2 linked regions of the Coturnix japonica genome follow. The protein of the gene in region 2 purifies or fractionates together with the protein of the main gene of each other region. This does not show direct contact. Links are inferred from orthologs where the notes say so. Each region holds a gene or a part of one and is shown on either strand. Other genes may lie near its edges. The genes, in order: NUDCD3 and GAN.

What was found.
Region 1: the proteins of GAN (region 2) and NUDCD3 purify together in Homo sapiens (co-immunoprecipitation; 3 studies listed by BioGRID and IntAct, counting the BioPlex papers as one, with this or other methods). This does not show direct contact. The link is inferred for Coturnix japonica from reciprocal best matches to the Homo sapiens genes GAN and NUDCD3.

What each region holds. Positions count from the first base shown.
Region 1 is NC_029537.1:86,188-99,828, forward strand, and holds the end of NUDCD3 (nudC domain-containing protein 3), read right to left. Parts: intron 13,148-13,641; coding exon 13,015-13,147; intron 9,838-13,014; coding exon 9,694-9,837; intron 6,083-9,693; coding exon 5,894-6,082; intron 5,775-5,893; coding exon 5,664-5,774; 3' UTR 5,540-5,663; downstream 1-5,539. Other genes in the region: CAMK2B (calcium/calmodulin-dependent protein kinase type II subunit beta), read right to left, coding at 236-345, 552-708.
Region 2 is NC_029526.1:13,708,023-13,724,171, reverse strand, and holds part of GAN (gigaxonin), read right to left. Parts: intron 15,361-16,149; coding exon 15,010-15,360; intron 14,205-15,009; coding exon 13,987-14,204; intron 13,669-13,986; coding exon 13,547-13,668; intron 13,072-13,546; coding exon 12,959-13,071; intron 12,327-12,958; coding exon 12,177-12,326; intron 11,920-12,176; coding exon 11,783-11,919; intron 11,397-11,782; coding exon 11,268-11,396; intron 7,374-11,267; coding exon 7,264-7,373; intron 6,332-7,263; coding exon 6,150-6,331; 3' UTR 1-6,149. UniProt on the Homo sapiens protein: Probable cytoskeletal component that directly or indirectly plays an important role in neurofilament architecture.

The sequences.
Region 1 (13,641 bases), on a different chromosome or scaffold from region 2:
ATACCGCCCCCAGCAGCACCCAGCTGCCCCTCGATGCCCCAATGCCACCCCGGTGTCCATAGAGTGCCCCCAGCCCCGTCCACGGTGCCCCTTTATCGGGCCCCAAGCGCCACCTTGGTGCCCACAGGTGCCATCCACCGTAAGCGTCACCCGGGCGGCCACCTGGTGTCCACAACAGCCCCCAGCTGCCCCTTATTGCCCCCAGCTGCCCCCTATTGCCCCTTATTGCCCCCACTGCCCCCCACCACCCGTCCCCGTTGCCCCCCAGGCCCCCCCCCCGCTCACCGATGTTGGAGTGCTTCAGCAGCCGGCAGATCCGCGCCTCCCTCTCCAGTTTCTGGTGGTCTGGGCACAATGAGAACCATGGCCGTCACTGCCCCAGCACTGCCCCCCCCACAGCCCCCAGCCCCGGCTCACACACACACACACATATACACAGTGCTCACACACACAGTGGGGCAGCAGGATGGGGCTGGCACAGCACAGGGCTGTGGGGCTGGGGGGGATTGGGGGGGTCCATGGGGGGGTCCATGGGGGCGTTGTGTCCGTACCTCTGGCCGACAGCTTCTTGGTGTTGATGATCTTGGCCGCGTACTCATGGCCGCTGCACAGCTTGACGCAGCGCCGGACCACCGAGAAAGCCCCCCTGGGGACAGCGGGGCCGCGCTCAGTGTCACCCCCCCCACAGCCCCCCGACCCCCTCCCCATGACTCAGCACCTGTGGCCGTGACTCAGCGCCAGGTGAACCCGAAACCTGGATGGGGGGGGGGACACCCCGAACACCCCCAACCCGTGGGGCTATGGGGCTATGGGGATATGGGGATATGGGGCTATGGGGATATGGGGATATAGGGCTATGGGGATATGGGGCTATGGGGATATGGGGGGGGGCTCATTGTGGAGCAGTGGGGGGGTCGCGGTGGGGGGGTCGCGGCGGCGTGGGCAGCAGCTGCACCCGCAGCACGTTGCCATGGGGACGGCGGTGGCCCGGATGGCAGCGGGGGTGGGCGCGGGGATGGCGGCCCCCCCGGCATTGGGGACAGTGATGTGGCCACAGCAGCCCCCAGCGCCCCCCACACAGCACTAAAGCTCCGTGTGCCCCCCCCACAAAGACAAGCGTCCCCACCCGGCAGCACCGCGCTCTGATGGGGGTCACAGCCCACAAGTGGGGGGGGGGCACCCGGAGGAGTCCCAGTCCCCACCGCCGGGTCCTCACTGTGCCCCCCCCACACACACAGGGGGGTCCCCAAGGCCCCACCACCACCGGGAGCCACCCAGGGCCTGAACCCCCCCAACACACACCTGAGGGACACGGGAGGGGCATTCCAGCCGCATCTACCAGGTCCCAATACAACATCCCATACTCGGCGCATCACCAGGTCCATCATCAGTGCACACATCGCCATCCCCATCCCCAATTCCCATCCCAATCCACGGATACAGGGGCCATCCATAGGCCTCCAATCACACTACCGCTTAATATCCCAGGATTACTCCGCGACTCGGCAACATTCCACCCCCACTCCCACATAACCTTTCAGTGCCGGCACTTTCCCTCTACTCCACGAGATGGCGACCTGACAGGCGCTGGCGAGGGTCGCGCGCAGGGAGAACCCACGAGCTCGCTTAGTTGAACGTTCATCGCTATCTGCGTCTGCGCATGCCAGCGCCCCGGTTTGCCGACCGACTCGGCGAAGAGTGCCTCTGGGGTCGAGTGTGAACCGGAGGGTTATGTGAGATTAACGCTTAATCAGACCGCGCGTTGGCTCCGCCCCCTCTCCGTCAGAAGATGTGAAGCTAGCTGCACGCCTGTGATGGGCTTCCACACCGCCCCCGGGCGGGCTGGTGAACATTCCAGGGATGAGGGGGTGGGGGTTGGAAGCTAACCTTAGCGACCCTCTAAGGAGCTCTGCTTCTCTGGACGGCGCTGCCAGGCGGGTGGGGCGAGTTCCAAAGGATCTTGTGCGGCGCAGGGCCGGTCTATCGCAAATCGGCATCCTCTGGCAGATAGGGAAATACTCTGATGAGTTAGTTGCCGGGCGCGCGGTCCCTAGAACTCGGAGTTTCAACACGGGTGAAGCCCTGTGACCTGTAGTTGCGACCTAAGATGCCGTTGACGGGCGGTACAGGTGCGGGTAGTGTATATGAAGCGCAATGCGCGACGCTATAAAGGCTGGGCGCGCGAGTGAGCTCCCTAGAACTCAGCATTGATGGTCGGGAGTGTGGGGGCTCGCATCTGGTCCACGAGAGAGCAATCGTCGTCGCGCATGGGGTCATGTCCATCGGTGACAAGACCATGTAGACGCTGAGCAACTGGAATGGGGGTGGGGGTACAACTGTGGGGGCGTTCTGCGGACGGGCTCTGGGTGCACCCTCGTAGAAGGCGGGCCTGTAGCTCGATGCGCACGCGCGCGCCCCTGTTTCAGCTTAGCGGCACGAGCAGGGGGGGGCGTGCACGCCGAGGCGATGGCCACGGGTGCGACGCCGGTGGGATCTAGGATCGCGCGGTGTCATTCCGTTGAGCTCATCTGAGGGCAAACAGGGAACGGGTGCTGCACATAACCCTGCGCCTCTAGGCGCTCGCGCGTGCCTCCCCGCGCGCTTTGCGCGGGAGATGGAGGAGGAGGAACTTGAGGGGGGCCTATGGGAAACCTGAGGGATAGAAGGACTGGGGGTCTCTGTAGAACTGAAGGGTGTGGGAGAAGATGACCAAGGAGCATCTGCAGTTCTAAGCGAGGGCACGTGGACCGGGAGCGCAATTCTACTGCGTGGCGGGAGTCCTACGGGCCTCCCGCTGCGTGCATGCACACTCATGGCAAGGGCTCACGTAGCGCTGGAGACTCGCCCACCTCGGCATGCGCCCCCGGCCAACCACGGCGGAGCGTGGCCCCGTATCCCAGGCCCCCGCCCACGGATGCGCGAGTGGGGAGGCATATGCCATGCGTCAGCGGGGCGGTTCAATGCCCTCCCCCGCGCCGCCCCGCCAGTGGTAGCGCTGGGGCTGGGCTGGGGGGGTTAGAGAGGTGTTGGAGTCAGGGGGGTGCGCGCCTGATGCGCTGGGGGTAGGATTGGAGTTGTTCCCCCCCCCGCCACCACCCCGTTTATTGGGGGACTGGCGAGAGACTTGAGGGGGCTGTGTTTGCACCAACGGTTTGGGGACACTTGCGCGGGAATTATGGGTGGGGATTCGGGGGGGGGTTGGCCTGATATTCTGGGGGGGTTGGGGCTGCAGGAGCGGGGGCGATCGGCTCTGGTGGGATGGGGGGCCACGGGGACGGGGGGAGGGGGCTTCTATGGGCACGGGGGGTATGCGGTGTTAGCATTGGAGGGGATCTGGGAGCATGAGATATGGTGGGGATATATGGGAGTCATATTTGGATATAGTGATAAATATGGTAGAGTTATATGGGGGGGCGTCGGAGGGGAGAGGTGGAGAGTAGTTATCTGGGATGACTCATGGGATGCCGGGGTGCGGCCGTCCCGGGTACATTTTCATGGGCTCGTCGCGCCGGGTCCCTCGTGTGAAGCCGGGCGCGCCCGGATGTGGAGGATGCGGGGGGGCTGGAGGGACAGGTGGGGCGGGCGGGGGCGATCCGTCAAATTGCGGGTGGGGCCGGGGGGGCAGGGCGGGGGGGCAGCCCCCGGGCTGGGAGCTCCCTAGAACCTACCGGGCTGACTCGAGGCTGCTCCCTCCCCCCTTGTCCTGCGCGCTTGCTAACCTTTCTCTTACGGTCTGGGCCCGCTTTCCCGCACCCGCGCCGGCGGCGCGGGCGCCGAGCGAGCCCCGAGGCAGCGGTGGCCTGCCTGCCTTCTAGCCGGGGCTGGCTGGCGGCACGATGGCCACCACGGTACCGTGCGCCACCCCGCTCTACCGAGCCGAGAGTAACTGCAGTCTTCTAGGCGCATACTGGAAAAGCGTCAGCGCACATGTCGAGGCGTCGTGGCTCCCCAGAGGGCGCCCAACCCTCCCCCGCGACCGCCAACCCGTGGACCTTGACCATCGTGCCCCTTTACTTGGCGCGGAGTCTCCTTCGTAGAGCTGGTCGGGCCCGGCTCACTTCGGCTCAGGGCTCCAGAGTGGGACGTTGACCGTTACCGTGGTGGAAACATCGTCGCACAACGCGCCGCCAGCGCTATGAGCGCCCGCTCCGTCCGCTGCTCCTCGGCTCCGCTCGGCCCGCCCGGCGCGGGGGTGCGGGACGCGGGGAGGAGGAGGAGGAGGAGGGAGGAAGGAGGGGAGGGCGCTGCCGCCCGGGGGAGGCTCCAGCCCGGGGCTGCCCCCCCGCCGCCACAGGATCCCCCCGCCCCGCCCCAATCCCGCCCCTCCTCACCCCCCGTTAAGGCGGCGCGGGACCGAGCCGACCCCCCCCCCCCGGACGGCCCCGTACCCAGATCCCCACAAATACCCCAAATCCAGACGACCCCATCCCTAAATACCCCATAACCCACCGCCCCCCCCCCAACCCATATGTAACCCCTCCATACACCCCCCCATCCCCAGGACCCCCCAACACCCCGTACCGACCCCCCCGCCCCAACTCCCCCCAATGTCCCAAACGTTGTGCAACAGCCCCTCAGTTCTGCCCCAAAACGGGGTGGGGGGGGGGAAAACTCCCCAACCCCCCAGCACGGGGGACCCCCCTGAGCCTCCCCCCTGAGCCCCCCCCAGCCCACCCAGCCGCTACATGGGGGGGGGGGGGGCAGGTGACATGAAGCCCCACCCCCGTGGCGGGGCCGTGGATCGGGCCCACGCTGGGTTGGGGGGGGGGATGCGAGTGGGCGGCAGGCGGCGTTGCCATGGAGAACGTGGGCGGCCGTGGGCTGCGGCTGTTGCGCTGTCACCGGGGACGGACGGGGCGGGACCCCCGGAGCCACGGGCCGGCGATGTGCCCCGTGGCACCGTGGGACGCTGCTGCCCGCCGGGGGACGAACGGGCGGCGGCCCTCGAGTGGGGCTGGGACACCGCAGAGCCCCCACAGAACCCCAGTGTCCCTATGGTTCCCATGGTGCCCCATGCAGCGCTGCCCTCGTGGACCAGCTGCGCCCCACAAGTGACGGAGCATCGCCCCCATAGGCGGCATCGCCCCCACCCGTGTCCCCGAAGCGGCTCGCAGAGCCCCGCGCGGGGCACAAGGTTTTATTGCCGTGCCGACCCGGGGCTGGGACACGCGTGGAGCCCGTGGGGCAGAGCAGGGCGTGAGCCACCACTGAGGGAGCAGCCGGGGGGGGGGATGAGCAAAAGAAGCAAAAACCAGAAATATCCTCAACCACCAAAAATAATAATTATGTCACCAACGAGCTCCGTCTATTCCTGAAAACAACGGAGCCGTCGCCAGCGCGAGGAGAGGAGAGGAGAGAGAAGGGCCCGGTGCTGGATGCCGGTGTGGGTGGATGGGATGGGATGGGATGGGATGCGGATGGGATGGATATGGGAGGTGGATGGGATGGGATGGGATGGGATGGGATGGGATGGTGATGGTGAACAGGGATGGGGATGGTGATGGTGAACAGGGATGGGATGGATGGTGATGGATGAACAGGGATGGGATGGGATGGGATGCCACCCCCGTGCTGTGCTGATGCCGGCTGTGGGCACAGGGCATCCCACACCGGGTCTGGGGTCTCCCCTCCCCACGTCGCCGCTTGTCCCGCTTACACCGGGGTCAAAACTGCACGGCGCCGGGCGAGATGTTGAACATGGACGGGTCGAACTTCTGGCCGCGGAACGGGGAGCCCTCGGTGTCCCAGCCCTTCTTCAGCATCTCGTGCACCTTCTGCAAAGAACAGGGGGGTTTGTCACCGTGGGGCTGCCCCACACCCACCACCCCTGCCCCAGGGGGACATTGAGGACCCCCAGGGGGACAGGGCCTGGCTCCCGGCTGGGGGCACCCACCAGCTCGTGGCTCTGCGGTTTGCCCTGCAGCTTCTGGTGGTAGTCGAAGGTGAGGCGGTCCAGCACGGCGTGCTCCTCCTCGTCCACCGTGGCCATGGAGCGCTCCTTGTTGATCTTGTCGATGTCAATCTGCTCCTCGCCCTCCAGGACGGCGTTCCACCAGTACTCGTCCCCCTTGTTCAGGTTGATCTGGGGACAATGGATGGCTCAGGGAGTGGGGGATGTGTCACCCCAAACCCATCCAGCACCCTGAGCCCATGTCCCACCATGGGACACATCACCCTGAGCCCATGTCCCACCATGGGACACATCACCCTGAGCCCATGTCCCACCATGGGGATACAACACCCTGAGCCCATGTCCCACTATAGGGATACATCACCCTGAGCCCATGTCCCACCATGGGATTCATCACCCTGAGCCCATGTCCCACCATGGGACACATCACCCTGAGCCCATGTCCCACCATGGGATACAACACCCTGAGCCCATGTCCCACCATGGGGACACGTCACCAGGTCAGGGGACACAGTTGTAGCCATGGCCTGTGCAGACATCAGAGCATCACAGCCATCCTCCATCCCTGGTGGGGCAGCCCAAGGGAGGGGGGACGTCCCGTTGTCCCCAGCCCAACCACAGAACGGGGGCAGCCATGAAGGTTTGGGAGCCGATATTGGTGCAGGGGGTGGCTGTGCTCAGTCCTCCTGGGAGAGCAGTGCTGGCACAACAGCGCAGCGAGCTGAGGGCGGTGGGTTCCAGCACAGCAGCGAAGCACCTTCTGTCAGGCCAAACCCTGGGTGCTCACCCAGCACTGAGCACTAGGAGCACACAGCCATGGGGTCCACAGCCCCATAGCGGGCACACAGCCATGGGGTGCGTGGCCCCATAGCGGGCACACAGCCATGGGGTCCACAGCCCCATAGCGGGCACACAGCCATGGGGTGCGTGGCCCCATAGCGGGCACACAGCCATGGGGTGCGCGGCCCCATAGCGGGCACACAGCCCACACGGCAGGGCTGGCAGTGGGTGTGAAGCCCCCCGCAGAGCTGCAGCCCACGGCCCCTCTCCTCCTCCCAGCCCGGCTTTATTTACCACGTCCCGCTCCCACCCTGCTGGGAAGGCAGAATTATTCATTTCCTCGGCAGCGTTTCTGTGCATCACCGCCGCTCTGAGAGCTTTGCAAACAGTCCCAATGAACCTCTGCGGCCCACCTTGCGCGTGGGGGGGGTTTGCTCTGCCCCCGGATTCCAGGGGGACAGGACCGAAAGTGGGACCCCCCCCTGAGTCTGCAGCCCCACTTCCTAACAACCTCCAAGTGCCGGCAGGGTCACAAAGCTGCTGAGCTGTGGGTTTGGGGTTTGGGGTTTGGTTGGTGGTGCGGGGTCGGTTCCTTGCATGAGCGCTGCTCCAGCCGTGCTGTGCCCTGGGAGGTGGCCATGGAAGGTGGCTGCACACTGGAACCCTGCGGAGCTCTGCCAAGGGAACAGGGCTTCACCACAAGGACGGATAAATCTTGACCTGATTACGTTGCTCTTGTGCTCTGCCCCAGCTCGGAGCTGCAGGGAGGATCGGGTTCCAGGTGCCTCATGCTCAGGTTGCACATCTCTGCTTTGGGACCGGCAGATGCTGGAGCTGTATGAAGCCACGGGCTGGGGCAGGATGGGCTGCAGGGAGACCTGTGTGCTGCAGCACCGAGCGTCACCGTGTCACCTCCCATGTCCCCATATCCTGCGAGGAGGGGCCCAGTCCTTCGCTGCGTGTGCTGCGCTTTGCCATAGTGATGGGTTCCCTCCTGGATCCCGAGTGCTGCGTCAGATCTGGAGGGATGGGATGCTGCCAAAGGGTGGAAGCAGGACTTGGAAAAGCCACCTCCTGCCACCTGCTTCCCTTCCGACATGGCAGCAGCGGCCCTGGGAGCCAGCGGGGGACAGGAGCTGCTGAGGGGCACCAGGGCAAACTTCCAACGGCACATGGAGGTCGGGGAGTGCCACAGATTGTTATTAACTCCCCGCTCAGGAGATGACAGGCAAAGGATGTAAGAGCTGCTCGAGACAGAACTGGGTGACCAAAGCCTGAGCGTGGATCACAAACGTTGGAGAGGAGAGAAAGAGGGAATGGGGGAAAAGCTCCTCAACAACAAAAATAATCCCCAACGTGTTGTGCACAACACCCAGCAGAGCCTTCTAAATACGGCTCCTGCGAAGCTATTTTCATCTCCCTTTTGACAAGTGAGCAGGCGTGACAGCGAGGGGAGAGCACGGGGATTACGGCCGGGCTGCGGCGCCGGGCAGAGCAGGCAGCTCCACAGCCACAGCCCACGGGGTTCTGCCTCATCTGGGTGCCAAAGAGCCATGAAAGCACCCAAGGACATGAAATGTGCCGAGGGCTCGGCCAGATCTGGGAGTGAGGGGAATGGACAGGCACCGTCCAGACAGCGAGCACAGCGCTGGCACACTGAGCATGGCTTCATTGTGCCCCCATCTCACTGGAGGCTGCTGCCCCCGGCAGCTCACACGTCCTGCACGAAGATGCTCAGGACAAGCCCAGTGCTCACAGTTCCCTCCCAGCAGCTGAAGCACCAAATGGCTGCGTGTCTCCTGATGAATGAATGGAAGGAATCGCCCGGCGCTTTCGGCTACTCTGCGCACGGAGAAAGGAGACACTCTGGGGTTGAATTACTCACTCTGCTCCAGTTACCTTACAATTCTTCCAGAGACATTTCATCCCACCATCAATATGTTGGCAGCCAGCTGGAGATCCTCACAGCCCTGAGCTCGTGCTAATTTGAGGCTCCTGCCTCCAGCTCGGGTTGGAGATGAGGGGTCCGCTCCCCACGGTCACAGCAGAAAGCCCCGAGTCTCGCTCTGCCCACACTGCTCCCATCCTGTGTAACACCCTGCTGAGCTCAGGACACGGGCAGGCAATGCCAGCTGCCCACACACAGCCACGTGTGGATCAGCTCCTCCTGAACAATATTGCTCCTTCCCAGGATTGTGCACAAGCCCAAATCAGACGGTTTTCAAAAGTTCCATGTTTGAAAAGTGTTGATGAATGATCCCATTGTCTCCTTTCAAACATCCTTCAGACGGCCAACTGATCTGGAGATGCTCTTCTCTCCCATAGGGCCCTCCTGGCAGCTGGTCTCTTGCCCCAGGATACATCTTCAAGGCCAGGCTGGATGGGGTCTGGGCAGCCTGGTCTGGTACCAGCTGTTGGTGGCCCTGCCTGCGGCCGGGGGTTGGAGCTCCATGATCCATGGGGTCCCTTTCAACCCAGATCACAGAATCTGCCTGAGCATGATTTCTATGCATTTCCCTTGGCACTTCTGCACTCAATGGGATGAACCCGGTAGGATTCCTACTCTAAAGTCACAGCACCTTCGGGTGCCCATCAACTGCCTTCTGTTGTGGGAACAGTCCAGCAGCATCACCCCTCTGCCCACATCGCTAGAGCACACCAGAGACACCTGCAGCCAGCAGCAATTCACTGTGGGGCAGCAGATCCCATAACGAGCTGCTGCCCCCAAACCACCTCGACCAGGAAGACGTAAAAGGCAACGAGAAGCAGCTGCACTGACTGCTTCCAACAGGACCGGCAGCGTGTCAGAACCCCGGGGCAGCACAGAAACAAGCAGTGGGGTTTCCCCTTGCCTGGCACACATGAGCTGCACATTGCACAGGGACAGCCAGGGAAAGGCAGCGTGGGACGCAGCCAGCTCTGGCTCAAGCCTCCAGCTGCTCCCATTTTCCAGGCCAAGCACAGGGAGCTGCAAGGCAAGGCAAGGAGAGGGCAGCCCTTACCAAAACGCACTTCCCTGGCTCCAGGCTCCAGAGGGAACTCTCCGTGTTGATCTTGTGTGTGAGCTTCCCCTCCATGAGCACACGTTGGCTGCTCCCCTCCAGCACTGCCACGCGGATTGTGCTGCTGCTGATATCCACAGACACCTGGAAAGGCAGAGAGAAAAGCATCGCAAGGTTCCTGCTCCATTCCCTGCTGCGCTGCTTGGGGCATGGGGTCAAGAGCACTCGCTGAGGATGAGAGAGAGAGAAGAACCATCAGCTTGTACAGATGGAGGGTGGGAATCCCACTGCCATCTCGGAGCAAACAGCTCTGAGGTGAAAGGAAACCTCTCTGGGGAGCAGCAGGCAGCACCGCCCTGCAGAGACTCTCACAGACACTTCTCTGTGCCTCAGTTTCCCTTCCTGGACAACCAGCTCACAGACTGGGTGCCCACTTGCTGCGCTCCCCAGCTTTGTTTGGCCCCCAAGCCAAGGCACAGCCAGCACCAGGTTCCGTGCATGCACAGGGATGTCTGTGTGTCCCCCCTGCAGCAGTGATACAGGTAACCCTGCTGCGACCCGCCGTGAGGTGACGTGGCCCTCCCGGGGACACGGTGGCAGGCTGCCACTTGGCTGAGCTGCACAGAGCTGCCTCAGTCCCCAGAGAGCCCATCTGCTGCCGCCCTGCATGGCCAGGCTGCAAGGAGCAGGGCTGGGGGGGGGACAGCTCAGGGCCCCTGGTGCTGCTGGCCCTCACCCGAGAGGAGGAGACTGCAGTGAGATTTGCCTGCATTCTCTCCCAGAGTTCCCCCAGATCTTCCTCCCGCTCTGCAGAGCTAATTTGAAATGTTATTACATTATCCATTACCTAGGAGATCTCCAGTGACTCACTAGCTCCACGCAGGCGAGATGCGGGCAGAGCTGCTCCAGGCAGCGGCAGCACCGCGGCTGCAGGACCAGCAGCACCAGGCTGAGCCCTGAACCCATGTGGGTGTCAAGCGGCCATCACGGCACTGACACCCAGCACTGACACCCAGCACTGACACCCAGCACTGACACCCAGCACTGTGCCTGCAGGCCCTCACCTGGGGCGTGGATGTGACCACTGATGCTGCAGCTCCTCCAGGGTGCACAGACGGGACACATGGACCAGGCTGTGCTCACCTCAGCTCCCCATCCCCATCATACACATGTGGTCACTGCCAGCAGGTCTCTGAGCTCACCGAGGTGATCCCCAGTCCCCTTTATGGGGGTTTCCCTCTGAGGGCTGAGCAAAGGGCTGTGATGCTGCCAGCCCCAGGGCAGCACAGCACACACGGCCGTGGCACCGCGTTGTGCCGCACAGCACAGCCCTGCACCGGGCTGCACACCGCAGCGGCTCCCTGGAACACCCCCACCTGCCCCCACCAGCACAGCGAGCACACACAAAGCTGGGAGCCAACCTCGCTCATGTCCTGTGAGCCAGGCAGCAGAGGCTGCTGCTGTGATCTCTATTTCAGGGCTCCACGGGCCCCTGCTGCGCCTCTAAGTGGATCGGGGAGGTGGGGAACGCGAGCTGCTCCCACCCACCCCTTCTCCCCTTTCTGCTCCACGGCCACTCTGCGGAGCTCCATACAAGGAAACCTCCAGCCTACCCGAGTGAGAAGGTGCCATAGCAACAGCCTGAATCCAAAAAGTGTCAGGAGTGCCATTCCGAGCGGCGATGGAGCCGGGCACGCTCAGAGCCCAGGGACCAGACGGAGATTGTTAATCTCGTTCTGGCAGGCAGAAGCCAAAAAACTGATAATTATTTCAGGAGACGAAGCTGCGTGGGGAATGCAGGGAACGCTCCTGTTTTGCAGGAACCCATCAATAATCTGCCCCAAGTCCATCCAGCTTGAAAATTGCTTTGAACCGCCCTGCTCTGGCCTGTGACCCAGCCAGTATCTGCCTGTCCCCTCTGGCTGGAGAGACACAGAGCAGCTCTGAAATGAAAACCCGCCTGCAAGGGGCTGAGGGGAGCACTGGGGGGAGGCCAGGCCCGAGCAGGACATACACTGCCAGGACAAGGAAAGCCAAATGTTGGAGCTGTGGGTACAGAACTAAACGGGGTGCCATGGGGCTGCTCTGGGTCGGTGCACACCTGTGGGCACTTCAGGCTGCTGGCAGCAAATGCACCCCCAGCACAGCCTGCAGGGAGGCAGGAGAGGTCAGGAAAGCACGTCCTGTCCCAGCTCCTCGCTGCACCTGCATGGCCCCCGCAGCGCTGGGTGCCAAAGGATGGGCTGTGATGCTGGGATCTTGGCATGGGCACAACTCCCCAGCGCGTCCCCGGGCATCGCGAGCGCCATTCGATACAGAGGGGATGGAACATCCGTCTGGACACCCCTGAGCCCTTCCAAGGAACAGCCTGGCTTTGCTTTAGACACCCAATGGGAATGATGTATCTCACAGTCCCCCTGCTGTCCCCATGGCAGCCATCACCCCTTCAGCCTGGGCTGCTGCTGCCAATTACGCTCTGTTGGCACGCCAAGGAGCTGTGTAGGCTGCAGCCGGCGAGCAAACCCAAGCGTGCTCATTTCAGCTGTCCTGGAAGCAGCAGAGGAGAACGGGAGGTGGGGGAGCACCGACTTCCCAAATGGAAAAATACAGCAAGAGCTGCGGGCTGGGAGCACTGGGGAAAGCTGGGAGAGGTCAAACTCCTGGGGCCAGCACTCCCAGCCCTGTGTGTGCTCCTTGAGCTGCTCCTCACCCTGGCAAGCAAAGGCCAGGAGAAGAGGGACAGGAGAGGGGCCAAAGGACACCCAGTGTGGCCACATGCCACACATATGGCTCTGAGATGCACCCTCAGAAACAGGGTTTGGATTTTGGGTGGGCCTGTGTGGAGCCAGGGCTTGGACTCTGTGATTCCTGCAGGTCCAGCCTGTCTTGGGACGCTCTGTGGATCGGGGTCTCAGAAAGGCAAGTGATGCTCCAAGCCTGGAGAAGGTAGCAAGGACACATCCCTGTTCCTGCCCCACAGCCTGAGGGTGCTCAGGAGGAAGGGCAGCCCTGTCCGAGTGCACACAGGAGCCACAGTGGGACATGGAGCTCTGAGAGATGCCTGTGAGATTGCAGCAGGTGGAACTGGAGGAGAAAGCACAGAAAGTACAAAGCCAAGGAACCCTGCTGGGGCTCTGAGTAACAGGATGCAGCAGCCACAGCGGGAACGTGGCCAGGCTGGGACTGTGGGTCCCCACCACTGGAGCACAAGGCACGACCACATCCTGCAGAGCATCCCTGCTCCCAGCACAGCTCCCCAGGACAGCAGAGCACCCTGAGGGGAAGGAGATGCCTGAAGCCAAATTATTAACGTTGCTTTACCTGTTTGCCTTTCATGATGTGTTTGGGCACAGGCACTTTAATCTCCAGGTCGCTGTAGTCTTGGGACCAGGCATAATTCTCCCGCACTGCCCCGTTGTAGCTGTCGGGGTTCGTCTGGAACTGCTCCTGTCTCCTGGGAAGAACAAGTGAGAGGCTGAGTGTGGGGCAGCGCAGGGTGAGCAGGGAGGCTGGGAGCAGGGAGGGAGCAGAGCCTGCTGTGGCACCCTGTGGTGCTTCAGACAGTGGGGTGCACACAGGGAAAGGAAAAGGCACCCCAGCACCCCTCACCTCACGGCCAGTGAGGATGGCAATGAGACAGGGGGGGACACGGATGTCCCTTGGGCTGCCCAAAGGGTGCAGGGTTCAGGGATGGATGTGGAGGGATTTGGGGGGGATCAGATAAACCATCAGCAACACACCTTGAAATACCCAACACATCTCCAGCCAAGATGTCCCTACCAGCCTCACGCCCCTTTACATCACTGCTGTGCACCACTGAACCCCCCCGGAGAGGGCTTGGAAATAAAACAACCCCTTCCCAAAGCCGTCAGCGGAGCCACCAAAGAGCAGAGCTGCTCCTATACACACCCAGCCCTTGGCTTTACATAAGGGTGCAGGGGCTGTGCA
Region 2 (16,149 bases):
CTCTTGCTTTTTAATCGAGTGCAATTTTGTTCCACAGTGCTTTTGTTTTCTGTTCTGAAATGCACGCAGGTGGCAGCGCATAGACACAATTCAGACAGGCAGGAATGATGTCTGTAAAGGCAGCCTGCAGTACAGCCCGCCTTTATGACATCCCTTGGGTTGTGACTGGGGCTAGGAGTACGGAGAGAAGAAACTCGCCCTTGACAAAACCAGAGGACATCGTGGCAGCAAGTGAAAAGACAGGAAAAAAGAAAGGCAAAGAAAAACTAAGGGCAACATGTGGTGATTCAAAAGCACCGAGCATTACAAAAATTACATCTTTGACTTTTATCAGCAACATAATAGATGTTACTTACGGCAGGGATGCTTCTGTCTATCACTGTAATCAAATCCATCAGCTTAGACGAGCGTATGGTACAGTCTCATTTCATTACAAAAATTCAAGGGCACAGGTTGGCAATGGCATTGAGAAGTTCATTTACTGATGTGCTGGGCAGGTGTGCATCAGCCACACGCAAATCCTGCACAAATACTGGGCAGCAGCGAGGTTTAACTGTCTGCACTGAGAAGTTCCAGCCTTCCAGCTCATTTTTCAAGGCATTATTTCCAATAACCTTCAGAAGCTCCTCCGAAACAAGTCTGACACACAGATGATAATCTCTGGAACAATGGAGCCGCTACCCAGAATAAGCTATTTTAAAGAATCCTTTAAGATTCTGTATCACTGTACAGCGCAATCAGCTGTTGGCAGCAGGTTATTGTTTGATGCCCCCATTACCATTAACACCTTCTAGCAGATGCTCATCCGATTCATTAGGCACTTAGAATGGTTTTAATGCATTGTTTCAGGTTATCTGTTAACGAGGAACTGAGAAAACTGGTTACCGGAGCACAGCCATGGTCAGGCTGCAGTGTCTTACAGGACAAAGCTGACTGGAGTTGCTGCTTTAAAGCCTGGTTGCAATTCCTCCCATTGGAATAAATGTAAAAAGAAAGAACCAAACCATACGGTGACCTATCCATAACATTCAGGGCACACAGATGTCATCTTCATAGCAGTGCTTCACCCATATCTCGCTGGCTGCACACTGATATGTCCCAGTCAACTTCACTGGCCCAGCTTCTCCACCTTCAGACAACTCTCCTTCCTTTTCTTTCCAAAGCAGCGTGCCACCCAACCCAGCTCTAGGCTCCAATAACAAACAAGAACAGCAGACAGCAAACATCAAACACCACAGCACCAGTGACTGCAGCGCAGGCCCCAGCTCAGTCCTCAGCAGGGAAGTACTCTAAGTTAACACCGAATAAGTAGCCTCTGCCTCAAAAAACAAGTATGCACATAATTAACAGCACACTCTGAAAAGGCTGTTTAACTACTCCAAGGAGCAACAAGAACACAAACCCTAAAACCTTGATGCTTATTGCAGAAAGGATCCATACCCTACTCCAAATAGAAGTCTTCCAAAGGCATCACTGAGCAGCACAAAATCACTCCTTAGTTATAATCTTAGATACGCCCGTGTCCTTGGCCATATCCACACAGCTCCAGAGACACCCTTCCTCCTGCAGATGAGATTAACTCAAATGAATTGTACTTCATCCAAGTATTTCTAACTTTATTATTACCTATCGTCAGCTGCCATTTATGATGCACTTGCATGGCACTGGTGCTCTAATAGAGAGCAGTGTCCTCATGCACCACACGGAGTGATGGCTGAAGGCAGCTGTGAGGAGAAAAACACTAAACTGAGAAACAGTATTAAAAAAAATAAAGATTTAGTGTTTTGAGTAACATTCGTTAAAAAAAAAGAAAAGAATTGCTACTCTCTTGTGGAGCACAGTGAGTTTTCAGCACCTCCGTATATAACAGAAGAGTTGAATTACTGCTACATACAGAGGAAACAGAAGTTTGGCACTTGTAACAACTACTGTTTGTTATTGCATCCTGCGCTTGGCATGGCAAACGTGCATCACCAACAGCCAGGCAGGCAGTACAGACACTGCTGTTACTGAGCTCACCGGAGATGCTGCAGCCAAAGCAGGGAAAACAGCCCCTATATCCCTCACTTTTTGTTCTGCATTTACCGAGTCATGCAGGCACAAAAAATACTGCACAAAAAAAAAATGAATTAAGCTGCCTGATGTTCTCTGGAAGGAGAGTTGGTAAGGAAGCCAGGCACTTGGGAGCTCTGATGGAAACACTTGTGCCTTCTGCAAGCAGTCTGACTCAGAAGGCAGATGCTGTGACACTCAAGTCCTGTGCTGTCAAACACAAGAGATGCAAGCCTGCCTGCACTCACCATTGAGCTGGCTTGGTTAAGTTTGCCTATCATGTAACCTCACATTGAGTTTAATTGAAAGATGAGGCACTGTCAAAGCTACTGAAAGCCACTTGACCCAAGCAGTCGAGTTGATACATCATTTCCACAACAAAGAAAACTTGAGGAACAGCTGATGAATTATCTAAAGATGTGCAGACCTTGCTGCAGTACCGCTGAACACAAGGCCCTACACAGGACGTCCCTTTTTCAGCTTAGGAAGAGGACGAGAGTTGGAACCCCAGGGCTGGCCCCTCTGGAGAGCATCCCACACAGGACAGGGGAGGAACAGGGACCAGGCCAGGAGTTGTGCTTTCCAAAAACAATCTCTTATACATGGGAAAAAGAATAAAAGACTTTTCGGGAGGGGACTGCGGTAGAAGTTGGAGTGAGGGGTAAAAGAAAGAACCCATCACCATGATTCCTGTCTTCTGCAGTTTCCACTCCATACCAGTTTGTCCAATCCCATCACAGCGAGGAGGAAAGGCCACACCAGCAGGATGTGCAGGACCGTGCAGGGTTCAGCCCAGGATATGGCCACCCCAAACCCGCAGTGTGAGCATTGCATCTGTGGCACTTCTGGGACACAGATCCTGGCCTCAGGAACCTTGGCACTACAGCTGCCTGCTGCCCTGATCCCTAGAAAGCAGCACAGTGCACAGGCAGCTCACACTCAACAAGTTACCTGTGGGGGAACCAGCTGGATTTATGAAGGCTGATTCAAGCTGGAAGGAACTGAGCTGGACTGGCTATCAAGAGCACCATGCCAAGCAAGGACAACTTCAATAGTTACTAAACTGACAGATATTCGAAAACTCCTGGATTGGAAGCTGAAAAAATGCAGGAGCTGCTTCAGGCGTGGTTTGGTCATCCCGTGCAGGGGGAGGCAGATGCCAGGGCAGCAAGGGGAGCTGCGAGACAGCACCTACCAGTGAACCCAATTCAACCCTATAACTCAGGAAGCTGGTCAGTGCCTTCCATTCAGCACCTCTGGAATCAAATCCTCCCTATCAAGACAACCACCTTGCACGGAGACCAGCCATCCATCTCACACACCATTAGCAGTACAGCAGGGCTCTCTCTTGGAAAGCAGGGCCTTGTCTTCCAGGCCCAGCTCCAGCCTGGAGTGGAATTTCACATTCCCAGAGAGGCACTGGTCACTCATCATGCAGACAGACCCCAACTGACACCTCCCACCTTCCCCTGCACCCAGCAGCTCTCCAGGAGCCGCTCACTAACATAACACAAAACCACAACACAAACATCTTCAGGTGAGGCCAACAAAGACGATGTTGAGATCTCAGGAGCACCTACATTTCTGCCTTGAGAACGTACCTGAAACTCAAGGTACAGGTGTTGGCAGAGGGCTGGTCCCTGACCAACTGTTAACTGCTTCAGGTGAAGAGGCTTAAGTTTCTTGGCCAAATCTAACTGAGCACATTTGCAATACACTTCGGTTGGAGCAGAACTGCTTGCTTTACTTGCCCTTAAAAAAAAAACAACAACAAAACACGTAAGAATACCTACTGTTAATTCTACTTTAACTGTAAACATCCGTTTAATATCTTTAACTGCAAAACACTGCTAATGTATACGTGATTTGGATTAATTATGTGCATTTATTACTTAGGCCTTCTGGACACTAAATGCCCTCAAGTGTACTGGGGAGCTACAGGGACTCAGGAGATAGCAGCCTGCAATAGTCTGCATACAGGATCTGAGAGTTTTCCAAGCACTTAGAAGACAAAGTTCAGATACTTAGAAACATTCAGTCTCATCACTTTTGAATGCAGGATCTCAGCACTTTGTCTAAGAGTCAAAATTAACATGAAATTTCTGAAAAGGGGAGGTTTTATAGATGAGCCAACAGTGCTTGATTTATTTCACAAGATGGCTGAAGATGGAAATAGTGGTTCACATTTCCGTAGTAAAGCATTATATATAAATTTTAAACCTAAAGACACATATATACACACGCATCAAGTTTACCGCAATGCATAAATATTATATAAACTTTTTAATACGCCGACTAAGAGAGGTCAGAAAATTGATGTCAATAGTTCAAGTTTCGCAGCAATTCAGCACTGTAAGAAATAAGAATAAATAAATAACGGCTAATGGATCGACTGCTGCCCTCTTTTGTGGCCTTTTTTTCCCCACCCCTTTTCTCAGAATCCGAGTAATTCCCACTACGCATCAGCACTGTGGAAGGACTGAGCAACAGCAAGTTTCAGAACACCTCCTTGGGGAATGTTTAGTTGAATACAACTCTGGTTCAGGATTGCATTGCAGCAGATCTAAGAAGGTTCAGTAACTATGACAAAGGTTGATGCTAACACAACCGAGGGCAGAGATTGGCTTGTCTGAGGTCCATGAAGTTGCAGCGTGGAAAGTACTGTACTTAGTTATAATACTGATTATACAAAATCTCTTTTGTTGAAGGGCAGGAGGCCTCATTTCTATTTCTACCTCTCTCATTTTATTCCTTTTAAATAACTTCTAAATAACCACAGGTTACATCCCACCCATCACAAACAACAGCGAAATCAAGAAGTGAGGTAAAGTGTCCTACCAGCCCATCTCTACCAAGAACAGAAGTCAGTCGAACATCACAGCTGACATGAACACGACTCAACAGGAAATAAAATGCCAGATACTGAATTCCTCACTATAACCACAGCCCAGCTCTCAAAGACAAACAGCAGTAAACAAGACTCTGTGCCCTAGCATGGAAATCATTAGCAAACCAACTTTTGATCCCAGTTTAAAACAGCCGTACAAATTTCCTGCAGGTGATAATCCAAAAATCTGATATCTGTGAAACAAACGTATTCTTACCATATTCTGTCTTTGCTCCAGAGATAAAATGTTTCTTTCCATAACCCTCAGACATAAAATAAACAAAAAAAAACCCCAACATCCTCCTAGTTTTCAAGCACCTCGAAGTAAGAAGGAACACAACCTACTCTCTTTACTTGTTGCTGTCTTTTACTGAGAGCAGCAATTGTCCCAAACCATTCCAAAAAACCATTTCCTCTGACTGCAAGGAAATGACCTCTAAAACCCCATGCAGAAACACATGCCACCCACCTATATACCAGTCCATCAGGCTATCCAAATGTCAGCATAAAATAAACCAGCACAGTTTACTTCTCTGTAGTATACTGCATCCATTTTAGATTAGTCCATTTAAAATATATTAAAAATATTTTTAGGAATGAAAACATTGCAAATGAATGAAAAAACGTATGTACACACCACCACCATTTTTAGGCACAGACCTTAGCTTTAAGGAAGGACTAGAAGTGAAAGGTGCAACAACCAACGCCTCCTGCGGCATCACAGTCAAGCAGCAGTCTTTGCAGTACACCAGGGAGGTTGGTTTTCATAGAGCTTCTGCATATTAGAGCTATCTGGTCCAAGATAGCGCATTTATTCTTATCGGTTCCCCCCCAAGGGAAACGCACCTTAAATCTTTCTCTCTTTCCAATAAACTTCACCATAGGAATACCAGTTCCCACCAGTTCCAGACAGAGCTGATCTCCTTCAATCCCACACTGTAAAGTCCAAATGGTTACGACTGAAGGCGTTTCCTCGATCCCCCCTCGTTTTCCCCCTCTCTTCTTTTTAATGTTTACGTAAGTTATTTGTTCCCGAAACAAGAACTGAGACTCAAGCTTTTTAAGCATTTAAAACAAAAACAGTTACCATACCAAAGCACAGCATACAGTGTAAGTTTCAGCTGTAATTTCTCAGCTTTTTCCTTTAAATAGAGCTACATATGGTGGACTGCGCAGAACTTTTCCAGTCTCCTCACTGTCAGCACACGGATCATGGGGAAGGTACGCGGATGCGGAATAACCCCTGCTGGAGCTGCAGTCGAAAGAGCTTGCAGTTTGCAATCCGCAAGGCTGCACAGCCAGTACGGCGAAGGTCCGACGGGAACAGCGGCTTGGTGCGCTGCCACGTCCCTGTGCTCCTCTTAAATTCTCTAACGTAGTCGTAATTCGTACCTAAACCCACACATGGAGAAAGAGAGAAGAATGCTTAAAGACATGTTGGACCCACCAGCATGTTACACCTCTAGTAAGGGAGATGTGGGAACAAGAGCATGCACAGGACTGAAAACTTCTGGATACACTGCTGAAATCATTCTCAAAAGGAAACTGTGACATTTCTTCTATTCTGATACACATCACTTGGACTTTTGCTGTTCTATATTCCTTAGAAAGCCCAGTTTTACAGATACACAGCTATGAAAACATCTCCCGCACGTCTTTTACAGTCGGGCCAAGTGCTGGCAATTGTGAAGGAGGAGTACTGAATGTGTTTGTTAGTACACCTGAGTGTGGTTAAGACAGAGAGGTAAGGGCCACCACCACAGCCAGGGGAAGCACATGATGAGGGCCCAAAACACAGAACCATCTGCTTAGCGCTGCAAGGATGGTACAGCAACTGGACAGATCAGCACAGTGGGAAAGGCACTATAACAAAGGTGTGATGACAGAAGGACCAGCATGATAGAAAGGTGCTATAAGGGAAGCTCACCTGTACCAGAACATTCCAGGTTCACAAGAGAATGCTTCACCAAGGAGGGATCTCCAACCAGAGATCCTTCCCCAGGGGCAGTCAGCCCTTATATGGGGTCTGCAGCCCTTCCAGTCCCACAGTTGAATTGCTTTCATTTGTGCTCCCAGGGCTGACCGGGTGCTCAATCAGTGGTTCAGGCTGGGACTCAACAGTTCCCATACAGATAGGATGAACAGCCCGGGCACTAACTTTTGTTCTCATATTTACATGAAAGCATTGACAATCTCTTGGTCTTGATTTCTTCCAGTCTTCAAGCAGCTAAACAACCGAATGTTTACAGTACACGATTTCTTTTTGAAGAGGTCCAGCAACAACAACAATTAGTTCTAACAACAATATCAGTTCTAATTCTGACCTGTATCAAGATCTCCAATCACGTAAATGCTGGCTCCAATAGGCACAGCTCCATACACGAAAGAAGAGCTCGTTGGGATACACAGGTTCTGGTCATTTAGATAAATCCACCTGTAAGAAAATAACAAAGAACTGCTATATGATTTCTGGCTAATTTGAGGGAAAAGTTCAGAAATATTCTCACAGCTGACCTTTGAAAACCCCATGATGTCCTACTTCATGATTCAGAAGTAAGTCTCCCTTCTGGCACTGAAGGAGATGCTGTTACACACCATTTGCCTTGGGACAGCTAATCCCTTAGTTTGCCTTTTAAAAGTTTCTCCCTCCATTTTTTTGTCTGTGCTGCACAAGGAATGATTGGAGTTCTAGGAAAAGCAAGGGAATGGGAAAAGCATGGGAATGTTGTCCTCTGTAGCTGTCGCAGAGGACAAGAACATAACTATAATGAGAGGAAAGCAATCCTCTTCTCAATCACTGTGGCTCTGCTGCACCACAAAACACCCTTCAGCAAGTTTCAGTAGCTCCCCTCACTATGGGAAGGGGACAGATTCAGTATTTTCACCTTTAGCACCAAGTAACCCCAAACTAAGAAAGGTGCATAAAAGGCAGAGAAATGGAGAAGGAAGACTGTAGGTTTGTTGGGGAAGAAGGGGTCGTTTTGCTTTTCAGTGGTAAATACTGTGTCAAGGGAAGGAAAAATACAGCACTTGATGGGTTAGTTTAGATACTCATCAAGTTCAGAAATCAAATGAACTCCACGGGTTGGCTCTACTAGAAACACAGGGCTCCAGTTTAAATGGACAAAAGTGTGGGACCCAACCATTTCACTACTGCTGCACTTCAGAATAAAGAGAAGAAATTAAAGTATCTGTAGTTGCTTGTGAAAAATCGCTCTCAACCTTTCTCTGCACGTCCTTTAAAAGAACAGCCACAACTTTTCAGGAACGCTTACAGCAGTTTTCACAGTTAGAACTAGGAAGGAACAAAGACAGGAAGGGCAAGGGGTCACATTTCATCAGCACTTGACGAAGCTCCAGCTCAATGTGGGCTGTGCCCACTGCTGGAACAGTATGGAAAAAACACCATAAAAAAGGAATGTACAAACACTCTCCGGAACGTAACTCTCACATGCTCCTCCAGGATGGCTCTCCTCAAACCCAACCCGAGAGCAGCGGAGGAGACGGCGCCTAACTAGAGACAAAAACAATTACTATCAAACTGAAATATGCTTCCACTGAAACCTTTTAAAAAGGGAAGGAATCCTCTTTTTTTTTTTCCCCCCTGTCTTAAAGCGGTACAGACAAATAAATCCATCTGAACTGCTGGAAGCAATAAGCAGGATGGTAACTTTTATTTCCAAATGGGAAGCACTTAGAGGCACAAAACAGGGCCCGTGTATTCCATGCACGTCACCATAAGCTCACACCAGCTGTGAAAGGAAGCCTACAAACAAAGGAAAACCTCTTCTGTGTTCCTCTTAACTGGCCAACTGATAGCGGTCAGGTTTCCCCTTATATCAAGCATTTCTTTGTAACGAGATTCCTGGATACTGCATGGGAGACCCTTCTACTACTATCTTGAGTAGCATTTTAAAAGAGCACAGCATACACAAAGCTCAACCCATCGCCTTTAAGTCCGCATCTCCAGCCTCAAGGAAGCTGCTCTCCAATTGGGATCTACCTGCCTGCTCTCACTCGTGTAATCCCAAAGACAAACTGACAAAATATTTATTAACAGAAACATTTCAGTTACAGTTATTGCCAAATACAATATAAATTACCACAGCATTCTGCTTATATTCCATGTTATGTTACTATTCCATCTCACTTCATTTATTTCACTACTTGTTTATGTAGCATTCTGTAGCAGGACTCACAATGTTTGAGCTCCGCACATTCCCAGTCCTTGGACGAGTCTCTATTGTACTTAAGCACTGCAATTCTGAAAGACTATGCACTGTGAATTGTTTTGGACTCAGTTGCCATCAGAATAAGGTCAAGCCTCATTCCTTTCATCCAATCCAAAACAGATTTACGCACTGATGTAATTGCATATGCTTATTCTTACACACTAAGCAAAACTTGTAACTCAGTTCCTTGCGTGCTCCTAGGATGATGCTACATCCTCTACTCACAGGTAATGAGAGATATGACACATATATGAGATGTGCCCATTGCTGCCCATAGCTGTGAACCAGCAATATCTGAAGGCTGAACTCAAACAACCAGAAGTGCTTTTATACTCATAAAGAAAGCAAACGTAATGGAGTTCTGAAGTTAATTAAACCCAGCCAGAAAACGATGTGGCTTGTTAGGAAGAATGAGATAACAATATGCAACTACTATCACTGTAGAAATATACATGCTTTTCAATAATAAATTAATAACCTGTAGTAACTGTGAAACATTAAGATGACGAATCAGTCTCTGTATGTATCACATTAGCCATGCACTAATGAAAAGGAGGAACTGTCCCTAAGCAGACACAGCTCAGGCTCCTCAAGCCCTGCCCTGCCTGTGACAGATGGCACTCAACCTGCAAAGTGTGGCTGTGTCTGGATCTGGGGATAACTGCCAGTCCCTGCTGGCTGATGTAGTAACAGAGCATGGTATCACAGCACCCTCTCCTGGTAAGTAACATCACTTCTTGCTCCAGAGGGGGAAAACGGGCTCTACCCAAACCAGAGAGCAAAGAAGTGCTTAGTGCAAAGGTAGCACTGCTGGTGACTGTCCTGGTCACCCGGGAGCTGCCTACAGCCCCAACTCAGGTTCACATCAAGATGAATTTCCCAAACAAATGACACACACTGGCAAGGCAGAAGGACAAAGAGACAATCTGAGCAGCTCCCTACAGGTGCCTCCAGCTGCAGCTGGACATTCAGACTACTGCTATCTCACCTTGTGCCAGCACAGCCCTTGTGGCACTCGCATGACTGATGGGGTACAAAATCAAGAGCTGAACTGGAACTGCATCATACCTTTACTTGAATCCTGTAACTCCCTAGGATGCCACTAAGCAAAAACAGAGAAACGCAGGCCTGGCAGGAACCGGTGCTACAGACAGCAGGTGGCACCAACTCACCTGCGCTCAAACTGCACCAACCAGTGAGACAGGTTTACAGTCACTGGTAAGGAACTGTGAGCCACAAAGCACCTTCTGAGGAACAGCATCAGTCTGGAAACATTTCCGTCAGGTCAACCAAAACCAGGAGGTAGTTTGTCGGAAAGCATTTATTTCCAGAATTTTTCTTCTGCAAACCCTCCTGTCCTGAGCCTTATTTGCTTATAACATTTCCCCATGGCCCCAAAGAAACAAAAAACACCAGGGAGGATCAGTAGCAACTCTTATCTGTCTGCTTCCCATAACCACCTTGACGTGCATTTCCTCTCCAGCTTCTTTTGGTCAGGGCTCACATGGATGTGACTTAGAACAACTAAAAGTCCATTTCATACAGAGATTGAAGTTATATAATAAATTCCCCACTGCTATACGATTTTTATGTGCTTTTATATAGGCTACATTCAAAGATGCAATCTTGTAACAGATTTAGTTCTCTCTGCCATATTTAACTCACTTTGAGATATCTGACAGCAGAGTCTTATTTCAATTCAGTTAAGAAGAAAAAAAAAAAAAAGCAAAGAAATCCCATTTATAGTTGAATGCAAAAAGAAAAGAGTGCAGGTACAAAAGTTTCCCAGTGACACCCGGAGCATGAATTAACTATCCATAAAATTCAGCCTAATGTAAGCTATGTTTAAAGCAGTTACCACATGCAGCGAAGCAGATTCTAAAACAAAAGCCAAGAGATAACAAATGAAATCACCAGAAACAAATTCAAAACAAACAAGAGGAGATCGGCCACGTGTAGCATCTGGAGGCAACTGTGGACTGAACAGCACCCACAGCACCTTTTCTTATGACAAGAATCTACACTGTTTCCAGAGCCAACCAACTGTGACTGCTGATCTGTATGCATTCCCCAGGTTTATAGCTGTAATTAGTTACCTTTTAAATTCATCATGATAAAATTCAGATTTACACGTCACCATCTCGCTGGCTTGGCTGTCATCACGACTCCTGACCCCCCCAAACACATAAAGCTCAGAGGCAACTCCACAGGCCACTGCCCCAAACCTGGGAATCCAGAAAGGAAAAAGAAGCAAAAAACACAATCAGAAGATAAAATAAAACATTCCATCCTTCTGAGTTCTCTCATTTTTTACATGTATTTTTAGATATAACATGTATTGATGAAAAAAAATATATGTATTTACCACTACAGTAATGTATTTATCTCTAGAGAAAAAGCTGAAGTTCCAATTGGATGACAACCTCTACTCTTCATTTTGCTTCAGGATAGCATTGCTTGTGACATGCTAAGCACATTTTGATGGGTTGGATTCTTCTCTTTACTCAGCCACCATAATAATGGTGCTTTAGGAACCATTTTGGAGGGCTCAGACTGGATACACTCCAGCAATCTATCCATCCCTCTCCCCCCAAGCTTCACCTTCACCCACCTTCTCTCTTTCAGAGGACAGATGGCTGTCCACTGTTGAGTCCTGGGGTCGTAACATTCAACAGACTCAAAGAGCTTCCCATAGGAGCCTCCACCCATTGCATAGATTTTCTTCTTCATAGCTGCATAGCAGCCAATCTCAAAGAAAAAAGAAAATTGCACATAAACACGCGATATCCAGAGCTGAAAATTGATTATACACACACTTCTGCACATTTATGTATATTATACATAAACATTCAGTCATGGTTCTAACATACACATTAACAAGGGACCTGCTCTCATTTCCCTGCCACTTGTTAAGAGTTTCTAATTGAAACAAAGCCTTATGATACACAGGATAGTTGAAACTGTTTAACAGCAAGGAAGGTGGTAAAATACAATGTAGCTCTTACCTTTCTAACCATGGTCAAGTCCGGCTGCTTGGTCCAGGTACGGTTATAGATATCGTAACTCTCCATAGAGATTAGTTCCCTTTCACCATCCTCACCTCCCAGAATATACAGAATTCCATCAATCTCCACCACACCAAAATTATGTCGTGCCTAAGGGATATCAATGAGGTCAGCACTGTAAAACATAACTGCTAACTGAGCAGTCAATACAATCTTCTCTCGTGTCTGTCAGACAAGTGATACTGGTATCAATTACTACAGTGGTTTTTCTGTTATTTTTTAATACAATGAAGTCTGAATCTCACAAATAAGATTATTATATTCTCCAATTAAAGAATACAAAGGGTACTAAAAACAAACAAACAGAGCAGCAAAAGCAAAAGAGACCCTGCAGAAACCTTAGAACAGAGCTTGGCCGTATTTCAGTCTGCACAGCAGTGGTCTCCACAATGAAACTTTTCAGGTCTGTACTCTCAAAGTGCATCACAACTACAAACGTGGATTTCCTTTGAGCTCAAGTACAGGCCCTCGACAGCAAGGAATTCCTCAAGTTCCTCTTTGAAGCAGCTCTTCAGTAACAGTTTGTGTTTGCCACTCCTGCAGCTGTTAGCAGGCTGCAGGTAACAACAGGGTATAAGCAGGAAGCAAACCCTACCATGACTCTGAATGCACACGATGCAAATGATCAGAGATTCAGACTATAATCCTGCAGAAACAACTGAATGTTTTGCTGAAGTAGGAAAAAGAAAAACCAACTCCAAGAGTCAAACAATGATCTTTACCTCATTCATCGGTGGCAACGAACTCCAGGAGTTGGTGTCTGGATCATATTTCTCTCCCGAGCTCAACGTTCCCTTGTTTTCATCCTGACCACCGAGCACAAATAAAAACCCTTCTGTAAAACAAAATGCAACGTGATCTTAAAAACAGGACTCATGTACAGAGCAAGGCAATCAGAATGGTGAGCTGTACGCTACGCTTTGCTAAGAGCTTCAGATCGGTCACAGGTCACACTTGGGACTGGAAGAAGTAAAGCACATGTTCAAACCCATACTCAAGCCAACCGCCACAGATACTCTTTAACATATTCAGTGATGCAGCAACTAGAATTTACTTAAAACACAAAATACTCCTGGAGAAACAGATGAGCAGATTCCCACAGAGACTGCGGGAATAGCGACTATAAGACACTCATATGACAGGGATTTTCACAGAATAAAGTGATGTTTTGGGCAGACAAAGGGGAAGCATGAAATAAGCCCAGTGCAACATAATCTTAAAGAAAAAACATACGTAAACTGTATCTCACACTTTGAGGCATTGGTATGTTTCCATAACGCTGCCTTTACAAAAACAAAGTTCCCCTTTACCTGCTGACAATACTCCATGATTGATCCTTGGAATACTCATAGGAGCAAGTTCAATCCAGAGCTGTCTATTGGGATCATAAAGAGGACACATACACCGCATCACTGAGGTTGGTTTCCGGGATCTGAACACAAGGTGGGGAACAAACAAAACCAAAACACAGTTTTACAAGTTCACCATTAACTACTTGTATCTAAAGCCAATTTGTCCACAGCACACATTCATAGAGCACAGCATTCCCCTGATAAGGAGAAAATCTCCAAACCAAATGGAAGCTTAGTTTTCTACACACCAGACATAAAAAAGCAGGCACACCTCATTCACGTTGTATTGACCTGCATTATTTTTAGGACTGAGGTGCAAATGCTGCGTTCTCAGATGCTCCACCCTGATGTTTCTATCTGCCCACTCATATCAACCCGCAGTGCCACTCAATACTTACACTCTTTCTTCTCCACCAACGGTCACGATACACTCCGAGTAACCGCGGGGCTTGAATGAGGCCAGCATGGCCTCTCCCTGCTGAGGTGGCGTGAGTGGGATATTGTTGCATTCTTTCACAATCTCCCGTACCAGAGGTTCGCTCATCATCTGCTCACGTAAATACGCCGCATCTAAGCCTGAAACCCACACTGCTGACATGACATCCTTCATGTGAACCTAGAGAAAGAGACCAACTCAACATTCCCCAGACTCCATGGGATGATGCCAATGCATTCACACACAGACTAACAAAAACTTTACACAGCGTTTGGAATAAGTAACAAAATCGAACGGAATTAAGAATTCTCTGAAGTTTCACTACAAATGTGCTACTTGCTTTCTCTCTCTGAGATCAACATTATATCATTGAGTGTCAATGGGTTTCTTTTTTCCTCTTAAGGCCTATTAAATAATAAAGACAAGAAACGATTTATCAACACAGCTTTCATTCACCCTCTTACTACAATGACATGGTCTGCTTTTCTGGCAAAATTCAACTATTATTAGATTAGCTCTGAAAATAGCATTTCTAGAACACAAGATATACACGGAGCAGCTGAGGGAGCAGGGACTGTTTAGTCTGGAGAAAAGGAGGCTGAGGGGAGAACTCATTGCTCTCTACAACCACCTGAAAAGAGGTTACAGCAAAGAGGAGTGAAGCGACAGGACACGAGGAAACTACCTGAGGTTGTTCAAAGGGAGGTTGAGATGGATGTTAGCAGGAATTTCCTATGAAAGGAGTGGGGAGGCATTGGAGCGGGCTGCCCCAGGAGGTGGTGGCATCCCCAACCCTGGAGGTATTTCAGGGTCATGTGGACATCAAGCTGGGTGGTGGGGTTTAAGACTTGGTACTGTTACATGATGTCTGAACTCAATGATCTCGTGACTAAATGACTCTACAGTTCTACCTGAAGTTCCCACCCATCAGAATAAGCACAATAATTTAAGTCACATTAAAAAATAACCCTTTTAGCATCCTGACCTTTCTTGATTCTGAATCATGAGAAATCCACCTAATCACTGCTTCAAAGACGTATCTTTCATTTCCAACGTTGAGCTTTTCCATCGACAGCACTTCTTTCAGTTTTTGAGGAGTCAGTTCCAAGAATTCCTCTGTGCTGCTGACATCTCGAAAATGAGTTTCCAGATACTCTGAGGCAAGGTAGTGAACATGATGCAAACAATAGTGCAGTGCAAAGTCCCGAATACCAATACAGTTCTCAGCAGCTATGCAACCTTCTAAAAACTCACAGCAGAGAGTTTTTAAGTCTGTAAGCAGCAGGAGATCAGCTGCCTGTACCACATCTTGGATAGTTTCTTCATTTAGCCTGATCTGCAAGAATTAATTTAGAAGTTATCGCTACTATCACCCGTTTGCTTCATGACATGTCCATATTCACTACAATCATTCGCAGCAGCTGGGAAATGGAATATTAACAGCATTGCAAAAATTAAGAGAAATCAATACAACCACTATACACTGATAAATTAACCAAGGAAGGGGAAGGGATTGACTTGACAGAAGGTGTCAAAGCAGGATTTTGCACCTGAGGGAACCATGAAATTGCTGCTCTCATCCAAGAGCCTACAATGGATTTTTCCGCAATAAATTAATTACCTTTAAACAAGAAGCAGCACATCCAGGAAAGAACCTCAGGATGTATCTGCTTCTTTGCTTTTGCCTAAAGCTCAAGTAGTTCAGCCATCACACTCTGAACTGCACACATTGACTCCTGCTAAGGCTACTGGAATAAAGACACAGTGGGCACACGGCCAGCAGGAGGCCAGAGAACCAGACAGAATGCCTGCAGTTCTTTAATATATGGGGTCAGTGATGGGGTCTCAGCTTCCACTGCTGTCAATGCAGTTTGCTTTTCTGGTAGTGAAAGTATTCATACATTAAAGCAGGCTACTGAAGACAGTTTAATACAAGTATTTAAAATGGAATTTTTCAGTCCTCTTCCACAGTGTGACAAGAGAGAACTCCTTGCAGAACTTGCTGCCTCTATTTCACGGGCAGAACCTATATGAGATGTACCACTCTGCAGTCTCTTCATCGCTAATCTTTAAAGTGTGATCCCCAATGGATTTATCTTCTGCTATAGTAACATTAAAACCCAGG